3 linked regions of the Arabidopsis thaliana genome follow. The protein of the gene in region 1 interacts with the protein of each later gene in a pairwise test. Each region holds a gene or a part of one and is shown in the gene's direction. Other genes may lie near its edges. The genes, in order: MIF2, IAA20 and MBD1.

The links.
Region 2: the proteins of MIF2 (region 1) and IAA20 interact in binary tests that used the Arabidopsis thaliana proteins (3 or more experiments, as listed by UniProt).
Region 3: the proteins of MIF2 (region 1) and MBD1 interact in binary tests that used the Arabidopsis thaliana proteins (3 or more experiments, as listed by UniProt).

What each region holds. Positions count from the first base shown.
Region 1 is NC_003074.8:10,923,054-10,926,321, forward strand, and holds MIF2 (mini zinc finger 2), read left to right. Parts: upstream 1-1,654; 5' UTR 1,655-1,960; coding exon 1,961-2,263; 3' UTR 2,264-2,760; downstream 2,761-3,268. UniProt on the Arabidopsis thaliana protein: Inhibits zinc finger homeodomain (ZHD) transcription factors by interacting with them to prevent both their nuclear localization and their DNA-binding properties.
Region 2 is NC_003071.7:19,305,583-19,309,571, forward strand, and holds IAA20 (indole-3-acetic acid inducible 20), read left to right. Parts: upstream 1-2,131; 5' UTR 2,132-2,278; coding exon 2,279-2,651; intron 2,652-3,021; coding exon 3,022-3,118; coding exon of another isoform or gene 3,119-3,122; exon of another isoform or gene 3,123-3,229; coding exon 3,230-3,287; 3' UTR 3,288-3,489; downstream 3,490-3,989. Other genes in the region: AT2G46995 (uncharacterized protein), read right to left, coding at 3,886-3,989.
Region 3 is NC_003075.7:11,946,636-11,950,404, reverse strand, and holds MBD1 (methyl-CPG-binding domain 1), read left to right. Parts: upstream 1-1,600; 5' UTR 1,601-1,763; intron 1,764-1,885; 5' UTR 1,886-1,890; coding exon 1,891-2,010; intron 2,011-2,489; coding exon 2,490-2,984; 3' UTR 2,985-3,195; downstream 3,196-3,769. Other genes in the region: AT4G22750 (DHHC-type zinc finger protein), read left to right, coding at 1-6, 94-185, 291-420, 518-603, 708-770, 905-1,039. UniProt on the Arabidopsis thaliana protein: Probable transcriptional regulator.

The sequences.
Region 1 (3,268 bases):
TACCTCGAAACTCGTGCCTGGGAGAGAAACTTTTTTTTTTTTTCAGCCGATGTTAATCTCATGAAACAACGTTTAGTGTGGAACAATGAAACTACAACAGTTTTTTTTTTTTTTTAAATATATATTATAAAGTACCAACAACGTTTGGTTATGCAATTATTGTTATATACCATCTCATGATTTATGTTTATATCTAATTTGGAAGGAGAAAATATCAATGTATTTCTTATAAAAATATCAAAGGATTGACGGAACACATGAATAAGAAAATTTGATGTCTAACCGAAAAACGAATGAATGTATGCATGTGTAATTCAAAAAAATCGATACGTAACTGCAAAGGAGCAAGCGATCGTGAAGGATTGCGTTGTCCTCATGATGTACAAAATAGGTTTGGTAGCCCAACTTATCAGTCCCACGTTGTTAGGTCCAAATGTATATACATTTATACACACTTCTATTTTTGTTCATGACTATTCATCATACAATCTTAAATATATTGATTGGTACTTAGATTACAACGAAAATTGATTTTTTTTATTTAAATCCGTACAATTCCTCGGGTATACTATAGAAGTGGGTCAAGATATCACATAGCCGACATAATCACTTTTTGGTCTATGCATATATATTCGATCTCGATACCAAGTTCGATTCTTTATGATACGTATAAATAATTTTCGTAACCACCTGTCTAATTATGAAATAAAATAGAATGAAAGAAGGAAATAAAAAGAGGATTAAAGAGGATGAATGTTAAAGGGGGCCACCACAGTACATATTAGGTCTTAAAAAGACAAGCTTAGCTGTTTCCTTCCTTTTAAAACCAATCACTTTGTTTGGTCTTAAAGAAAAGCTTTCTCATCATTTTAGGGTTTTCTCGCAAAATAAATCGAACAAAAGTTGCATCCACAAACTTCCACACATAATTTAATTTTTGTCGTAATATATTTACTGTTGCAGGTTGTAATTCTTCATCCACTTCATTTTATTCTATGGCTTATGGTTATGGTTACTAGTTAGCGCACAATATATATTTGTTGGAATGTAAGAGTACGTATTCTGCGAAAGTGGAATCTAGCAGAAGTTTGGAAGATCCAAATACAATGTATAAGGGTGATATTATCAACTAAAGACGGGTGCCTAACTCACAAAGTGGTGGCTCCATGTCTCGTGAATGTTTTGTTTTTGTATCTCTGGAGTTATGACATTTTGGTCCGTCCATTCGGATCAAAAATCAGAACGATGACAAATATAATCTCTTTCTTAACTGGAGATCAGTAGATTCCAATTTCGATTCAGCATAAACTTATTCAATTTCTTCTAACCGGATGAGACAAGTACTAGTACGCATTATTGCAATATTAAAGTGTCTTAGTATTCCAAAAACAAAAATTACGATACTTTAAACATAATCTGAATTTTGTATAACATGAGCCAAAAAGAAAACATCCACCATATTTAGGTTGGTAACAAGAAAACAAAACTTGTAATTATAATTCAATGCATAGTTGTGGTCATTTAATTACAAAAGACAGATATACATATATGATATACCCATCAAAAACAAAATTCTGGTAGATTAGCTTAGTAGGTCTGATTGGTTGTGATGATGCATCAATCTATACCATGACATGTACATCTACACACACACACATATATATATATATATATATATGCAGTTGCAAGAAAAATATCTAAGGTTTGGTTGTCGATTGCTATCAGAAATGCTATAAATATCACATCTAGGGTTAGGGTTAACAACCGAGGTCCTCTTGTAATTGTTTTGATCTTTCACTCCCTAACTATTTCGAGCCGTAGAAATTAAAGTAAAAGAACAAAAACTTTATTATACATTTTTCTCTTCCTCTTTAATATATATACATTATTACAAGTTTAGATTTCATAAAAAAAAGTCAAGAAGAAGAAAGAGCTGAGACGAGAATTGAAGTGAGAAAGCATGAGGAAGCGTCAGGTGGTGTTGAGGAGAGCCTCGCCAGAGGAACCTTCTAGAAGCTCGTCGACGGCTTCGTCTCTGACAGTGAGAACTGTGAGGTACGGAGAATGTCAGAAGAACCACGCTGCGGCGGTGGGAGGTTACGCTGTTGACGGCTGCCGTGAGTTCATGGCAAGCCGAGGAGAGGAAGGTACCGTGGCAGCGCTAACGTGCGCCGCCTGTGGCTGCCATCGCAGTTTCCATCGGAGAGAAATAGAAACCGAGGTTGTTTGCGACTGTAATTCACCTCCTTCTACTGGAAATTAGATAAGAAAAATCTAGAGCTAGCTATGAGTGTGTTTGTGTGTTACATATACAGATGATGAAACTGAAAATATTTTATTTGCTTTTTTTTCTTCTTTAATATGAAAGGCTTGTGTTTCTTTGTGAATTTAAGAAGAAACTATAAGAGATTTATAGATTGAAGGTGGTGGAAGCATTGAAAGATTTATAATAATTGGATGCTTTTGGGGTTTGAGAATGTTCAGAAAAGGTTAGGCTTCTGAAGTGAAATATTAAGATTATTGTTGTTTTTCATGTATTATATTGTTTGATTTGTATTCTGGTTGGGTCATGTTATTGTATTTTGATCTATTTTGATTATTTTGTCGAAGCTGACGAAGCATGTGTGGTGTACTCGTGTTTCAATTCAATGTCGTCCACTCAAGACAATTGTTAAGTGTATTGTGAAAGGAATTTGTTACAAAATCAATATGTGTATTTACTGATAAATGAATGAATGAGATTGATTGTTCCTTAACATATATGGAAGGTTCTTCGCTTGTGATAAGGTAGCTGAATATAGTAACCCATTTATTGATTATCTCAATAACTAATTTAATTAATTATATATATATATATATGTATATATTAGTATAAATAAATCACTAATGATTGTAGTAAATATTTTTTTTGGGAGGCGATGAAAAAAGGTTTAAATTGATCCCTTTGAGACCACTCCTATAGCTTTATTTTTAAAAAATATAAATGGTGGAGTTAAGTCTCACACTATTTTCCATGATTTATCTTAAAATATTTAGCTTTATGTGAAGTGCATAAAGCTCAGATTTATGTGAAGGGCATGTTAACTCGAGACCGATTAGATTATTTAAGCTCAGATTTCTTAATTATGCTATGATGAGAACCAATATTTTCAGGGATATATGCCTTCCCAGCTTTTAATTAAAAATAGTATATATTAAAATATTCTATAACCTTTTAGCTTTAAGAGAGATTTTTCAAATTTTATTTCAGAGGATAAAAGATAGGCAA
Region 2 (3,989 bases), on another chromosome or scaffold:
TTGTATATTATAACAATGAATACACATGTAATAATGTAAACATACATCCAATCAACAAATGAAAGAAACAATCCGATAATTTCAGTAATGTTAAAGCAAAGGGAGGAAACAAAAGGCTATGATTAGTCCAACAAGAGGGGCTACAGAAAAAGAAAGCCACGAGACATGCAAATGCAATCACGCATCTTAAAAGCAAGCCCAAGTTTTGACTGACAAGCAACCACGACGCAGTAAAGTGGAGTTCTCAAAATTAGCGCATATATAAAGTACTTGAACTATGTGTGTATCTTTCCAATAAAATGCAATTCTATAATGACTGCCAAAATCAGTACTTCATATTATTTTTGAGGAAATATCGTATATGTGTATCTTTTTCTAACAAAAGTTTTTTTATTCAATATAGAAAAAAATGAGTATATTTACAATTTACATATCATAAGATTAAAGTTGCAAAGAAATAAAGAGAAGATGCAAATGAAAATAATGGAAGAAAAGAGGGGACAGAGAGGAGGCGGAGGCAGTAAGAAAATAAGAAAGTGAGGAAATTGTAATTTGTAGTGTTGTTAGGGAACATCTCTCCTTTATCCTTTTTCTCTTGATTTTTTTTTTGTTTCTTCAATATTTCTCTAAAACTCAATTGGTTCCAACTAATTAGTACATTTTTTCCAAACTGAAATATCGAAACCTGAATTAAGCGAGGGAACCAAGCCGGTTTCAACTCTAGTGCGTATATGTCTCTAATTGCTTACATGGTTCAATCCAAACCAAGCTACACTATGCTTGCACGTTGTGTTATTTTGTGAAGGATGAAATTATAATAACGAAGTTTGATGAATTGAAATGAAATTAGTTTCGTCACGAAGCACACATCCATTAAAATTTGATTCTTATATTATATTTTCAATGAAATTATATAATTTTACCATAAGGCACGCATCCATTGTACAATGTACATGTTGTGGTTGAGGGAGTCCACGTGGAAACAAAAATGCCACGTGGGTAATGACAAGAAATATAGTCGTTGGTCGTTGTGTCGTGAGTGTGTGTGTTTCCTTTTTCTCGTGCTTGCAAATATGAGAAATGTGACGTCTCCTTAAGTTCCATAGACAAAGGAACTCTCATTAGGTCCTCTCTTTAAGGTGAACCATTCATTACTCATGCCCCCTCTCTTCCTTCGCTTTTTTTTTTCTTTTCAATTTTCAAATTTTCTCTATTTATTTAGTTATTATTACGTCTAACAACTTCTCTTTCGCAAATATATTACGTATGATTTACATCATTATATAGGCACTTTTTACCGGTTTGGAATAGTCCGTTTTAGACCGATTATGGCAGCGCTGATACAACTTGTTTAGTAGTTGACTAATTTTTTTTTATGTCTAAGCTTCGAATAAACGTAATTGTAAAGAAACAAAAATGAGATTTATCTTCTTTTTACATGAAATAAAATCGGTCTAAGACTTACTTATTGGGGGTTTTGATTATTCAAATCATCTGGTGGAACTAAATCGCATTGTTTTATGGTTAATAATGACTTGGACTTGAATCATCGTAGGCTCAAACATTTGTCATGCTTGCATACATATGATGGGTCCACAACTCCACATCGTAACTTTCGTCATAACTTTTGTTAAACAGAAGTAAAGAACTATACCTAATTAACTTAAGAAAGAAGTGTTAATCCGATTACTAAGCAAGCATTTACCCAAACACTTTCCGAAAATAATTTGTTTGATTAAAGTGTTAATTGTATCGAGGTCATATGAAAACACATTAATTTTGGAAATGTGGGAAGTAATGTAGTTCCACAAACGCCTCAATGCGCGTCACGATAACCTTTCATGCATTGAACACGATTAAGAAGATGTAATTTCTCAATATTAACTTTAATACTACTTCATATCATCAAAACAGCTAAATGTATATATTTATTTTTTGGGGTTAGATATCAAACATTAACTAGCGAGAAACCGAACCCACAAAATCATAACCAACACTTTGATCGAATCATCGTTTGACACGTGTTTTGGTCTGCTACACTAACAACATTTTTAGCGGACGCTGTCTCATCATTCCACCGTCGCTTTTTATTTGTGTGAACTTTGAACAAAAATACGAATTAAGACCATATCAAATTTAAAATAAAATAAAAACAAGTCCTAGTTTTATCTTCTATATAAACACACACGTACAAACCAAGCATGGCGGCTCATTACTCATTTGTCTTAACCTAAAATTATTATAAAAAGGATAGAGAGAGAGAGAGAGAGCTAGAGATATGGGAAGAGGGAGAAGTTCATCGTCTTCTTCAATAGAGAGTAGCAGCAAGAGCAACCCATTCGGTGCTTCGTCAAGTACTCGAAACCTAAGCACGGACCTGAGACTCGGACTCAGCTTCGGGACATCCTCAGGGACTCAATATTTCAACGGTGGCTATGGGTACTCCGTTGCAGCTCCGGCGGTAGAGGATGCGGAATATGTGGCGGCTGTGGAGGAGGAAGAAGAGAATGAGTGTAACAGTGTAGGGAGCTTTTACGTGAAAGTGAACATGGAAGGAGTTCCAATTGGAAGAAAGATCGATCTAATGTCTCTTAATGGCTACCGCGACTTGATCAGAACCCTTGATTTCATGTTCAACGCATCCATTCTCTGTAAGTTTCTATGTATACATAATGTCATATCAGAATGATTTATATGTCTTAGAGGTAGCAAATTTCTAACGATATTTTTTTCTTTCTTATAAGTCCGTTTTGATTTTTTTTTTTTTTTTACGGAATGAAAAAATACTTCCGCTCATTACTATTCTTTTGTTTGAAGGTTAATATCGCCGTAATAATCGCCCATCACTATTTCATAGGTTGTTTGTTTGTTTGTCAAAAAAAAAATCTGGATAACGTTATATGTCAGAGTTATTATTCCGTAGGTAGAGTTTATATATTGCGCAGTGTGTAAGTACTGTGTAATGGGTAAATTGTAAAAATGATGAAAACTGATGGGAATTGAAAAAATGGAAATATATAGGGGCTGAAGAAGAAGACATGTGCAATGAGAAGAGTCACGTGCTAACGTACGCAGATAAGGAAGGTGACTGGATGATGGTTGGAGATGTTCCTTGGGAGTAAGCACTCTTTTCATCCTTTTTTGTATAATTAGATTGTTAATTATGCAGAAAATTAACTATATGATCATCCTTATATATATTTTTAATTTGTGGGTTGATTTTTTGCAGGATGTTCTTGTCTACTGTGAGAAGACTGAAGATTTCAAGAGCTAATTACCACTACTGATATATAAGTCTACGTACTTGTTGTGTTTAAATCGAAGTAATGCCAAGAAAAAAGTTTTTGCCTGATGTAAATCAATGGTCGGATATTTATAATATTATTTTCATTTTTCTTTTGTGATAGATAGTACATAAATCTTGAACTCACTCTGATTATTCTCGGTAGTACACAAAAAAATAGTAAAAAAAGGAAAAAACAATTATCCGATCGACAATCATGTTTCAGTGCATTAAACCAGTCAGACCATTGGTCATTGGATATTTGAATTTATATAATTAGTTGAATGCTTTTATAAATAAAATTATAGGATGTACTTTCTTTTGTTTGTCAAATAGGATGTAGTCCAGTTTCAGAAAATACTAGTAGTCAAGAAAACCAAGCGACAAATTAATGTCGAGAGACAACTTCTAAATTTTCGAAGAATTTTTGGATTTGATTATCGATTTGACCACAATGTACATTTGATATATACAAGGAAGGAGGCAGGGGAAACAACAAATTCCCACCTGATATTTCCTACTTTGTGTTTTGGAAATAAATGGGCCTTCTCCTTTGATTAAGCCCAAGTTCGATCCCATCTATAAATAATGCAACTTAAAACTCACAAAAGTATTCGGCTTACGCAAAATATAGGGTTTCTGTTTATTCCAATCATAGCTTCCGGATCAAGCAAAACAGAGACCGAGACGGAGCAAATCGCTTCTA
Region 3 (3,769 bases), on another chromosome or scaffold:
CAGTCTGTAAGTCTCTTCAATGAGTGATTCTTTTCTTTGAATCCGGTATATGTGTTTTTTAGTAGTGAAAAAGTTGTCATATTGGGTTTTCAGGTGGAAGATGCATACTAAAGATGGACCATCACTGTGTTTGGGTGGTGAATTGTGTTGGTGCAAATAACTACAAATCATTTCTCCTATTCTTGGTATGTCAACTTATCATAGCATCGCTGAACGAAGTTGTTTTTGATATGTTCTGTTCATTAATGTTGCCATGATCATAATCCATTCCCAATATCTCAAAAATGCAGTTTTACACATTTCTTGAGACAACGGTGGTTGCAGTATCACTATTGCCAATTTTCCTCGTATTCTTCAGCGATGGAGATGGTGATATAACCGTATCACCAGGAAGCCTAGCAGCCAGCTTTGTTGCATTTGGTGAGTTCAAAGATATAGAAATCTCAGTTTCCGTTTTTGTTTCAGAACACCTTAACGTTACCATCTGATTCAAAAACTTCACTCTCTTGCTTTCCAGTATTGAACATAGCATTTGCCCTAAGTGTCCTAGGCTTCCTAATAATGCACATAATGTTGGTCGCTCGTAACACCACAACTATTGAGGTAAAGCAACAACTCTCACTTGGTTTTGCTCTTAACTTGGGTTCTCTCAGGAATCTCCATGTCAATAAACTCACTGACCAAACTAATGGTTTCTTTAATCTCAGGCGTATGAGAAGCATACAGTGAACTGGCCATACAACGTTGGTCGTAAGACAAACTTTGAACAGGTTCGCTCTCCATCTTCTTTGTTTCACTCGTTCTTCAGTGACTGATTCGTTTCCCCGCTACTTAGATAATATCTTTGACATCGAACACAATGAAAGCTTTAAAAAGTTTGGTCTCTATTCCTTTGTTGAATCAGGTTTTTGGAAGTGATAAAATGTATTGGTTCGTGCCATTGTACACGGAAGACGATAAGAAGAAGTTGCCAGCACTTGGAGGGTTAGACTTTACGAGCAGGTCGGAGTCCGAGACAGAGCCGCTTCAGTCTCTATGACCTTACAAACTTGAAATTTTTGGAAGTGTGTCTTCTGCTTTGTGTATGTATCAATCAAATATTATATCAAACATTGTCTTGTGTATTATAAAGATTAGTGCCTATTGTGGAATTTGTATCTTTTTATTTCGTGAAAAGAAATTTCTCAAACTTCTTAAATATACCATTTTCACATTTGCTTAAATATACCATTTTCATTTTTTCACTATTGATAATAATAACATGTTATTTATCATAAAAAATAAAAAAATCACGACACGTGAATGATGTACTGTAACTATCAAAGATTTGACGTACCACATACTTTCTGTATGTTTTTGATCGAATCAAAAATAATTATTTTTGTCCTTTTTTGTTTTATTGTTATTTTATAATGTAATACTTTTACTAAAATAATTTTTTTTAAAAACTAAATTTCTGGTCTATATAATTTTGGCCAAATATGTACATATTTAAAATCCAGAGTCAACCATTTAACAAACACTTGGAAATTTAATTAATTATTATGCCCTGTTTAGTAGAAAATCCATTAAAAATTACAGAAATGGTCTGCGTGTCGCATTGAACCAATCATATCTCGACATCTGTAAATACAGTTGGAGAAGATTTTTTCTTCTTCTGCTGGCCAAAAAAAAACATTGCATTAAAAAGGGTTCAAAGAAAAATTCTCAAATTCTCTAACAAAGAGCTCTGAGATTTTTGGAAATCTGAATCGTTGTTCGAGGTATGAACTTTTGGATCACTCTCCTTGAATCTGCTCTTTGATTCGATTTCGTACTTGAATTTCGCAATTTTGGAGTTTTCTCTCGCTTCGTTATACTGATCGTTTAGGGCTTGAAATTGAAGGTTTAATGTTACCATTTCCGGCAATGAACTTGAAGAAGTCTCGATCGGAAAACTCATCAGTTGCTTCATCTGGAAGTAAGATTGAGGAGCAGACTGAGAAATCAGCTGAACCAACAACCATTAAGGTAAACCTCACTAAACCTAAACCCGGTTTCAATTTTGCTTTGTGGTCTCTCTTTACCACACAGATCTTATCATTGAATTCTATCTCTTAATTAGGGTTTTAGTTGAGAATCTTAAGGTTTTTTTTCAACCAGTTTCGAAGACTTAGTTACTAGTGTTATTTGACGAACTGATGCAGACATAAAGGTTATAACTTTATTTCTCGTTGTGTCTTTGGCTGATCAGTTATGTATAAAATTTAATCAATATTTATGCTATTTAAGGTTTCGCAGTGACCCTTTTCTTCAAATTTGGTTTTTGATTCTGCATGTTCTCAGTATCACTCTTTTGGTGGTGTCCCTGTTTTGACTTTTGTGTTTCTCTACGCATGTTTTCTCATCTTGCTATATATTAAACGATTTGTAGTATGATTCTGTTGATCCAAGTAGCTTGTGAGTGACTGTTCTTCTTTTCACCGAGATTCCATATTTGTATTGTGCAGGTGCAGAAAAAAGCCGGTACTCCAGGGAGGTCGATAGATGTCTTTGCTGTGCAGTGTGAGAAGTGCATGAAGTGGAGGAAGATTGATACTCAAGATGAGTATGAAGATATCAGAAGTAGAGTACAAGAGGACCCGTTTTTTTGCAAGACGAAAGAAGGTGTGTCCTGTGAAGATGTTGGAGATCTAAACTATGATTCCTCCAGAACATGGGTCATCGACAAGCCTGGCTTGCCGAGGACACCAAGAGGGTTCAAAAGGAGCTTAATTCTGAGAAAGGATTACTCGAAAATGGATGCGTACTACATAACTCCTACTGGGAAGAAGCTCAAGTCTCGTAATGAAATCGCAGCCTTCATCGATGCCAATCAGGATTACAAGTATGCACTGCTTGGAGATTTCAATTTCACAGTCCCAAAGGTGATGGAAGAGACGGTTCCTAGTGGGATATTATCTGACAGGACCCCCAAGCCATCAAGGAAAGTTACAATTGATTGAGCTACATAGCGCTTCCCAGCTTCTTATGGTGTTGAAGTTGTTATTGGAGTCAGTTTTAGGTTTCTATCTGGTTTAGTCTTTTAAGGGTGTCGGACTTCTTACTGTAGAATGTTTCTTAAACTCATCTCTTTGACTCTGATTGGATCTTTATTTTCTAATGAAGGATTATCTTTTCTTCTCTTTTTGTTATGTCACAAGTCACAACTACATGAATCGCTCTGGTTTTCACTCAGTGTGTACAAACAAACACGACAAAGTATATTCAAGCAGCATGTGTACAACTTCTTCTACTCCAAGCGCACCCTCTGCTATAGCGTGCGGTGTGCAAGTCCTCGCTTATGGGCTATTTATCCCATTCAACATTGAGTATTGGTCATAACCTCTTGGGACTGAGAGCTTTATGAAAAGAAGCCTTAAACAATGATTGCATATTTGGGATTTTCAAAAAGAAGACTCACAACATAACTTTATGTATGTTTCCGCTCTTGGGTTTTCTGACCAGCCCTTGAAGCTAGTCCTTTCTCAAGGTTTTGTGTATGTTTCATTAGTTTTTGTTTGTATCTGGAGTCTACCGTTTATTAGAAGTTTAGGTTGCTCCTTCCACCGTCCTTACTCCTTGGTTTAGTTGAATAAGCAGTTTTCTCATGTGGTCTTACTTGGTATGTAAAGGCTAACCTTTTGTGGGCATGCAAAGTTCTAAATTTAGACTCTTTAGGATGAAGATTACATGGCTACAATTTTTGATTCTTATATGTGATTTTTTCTTCTTGTTATTCGTCGTATTT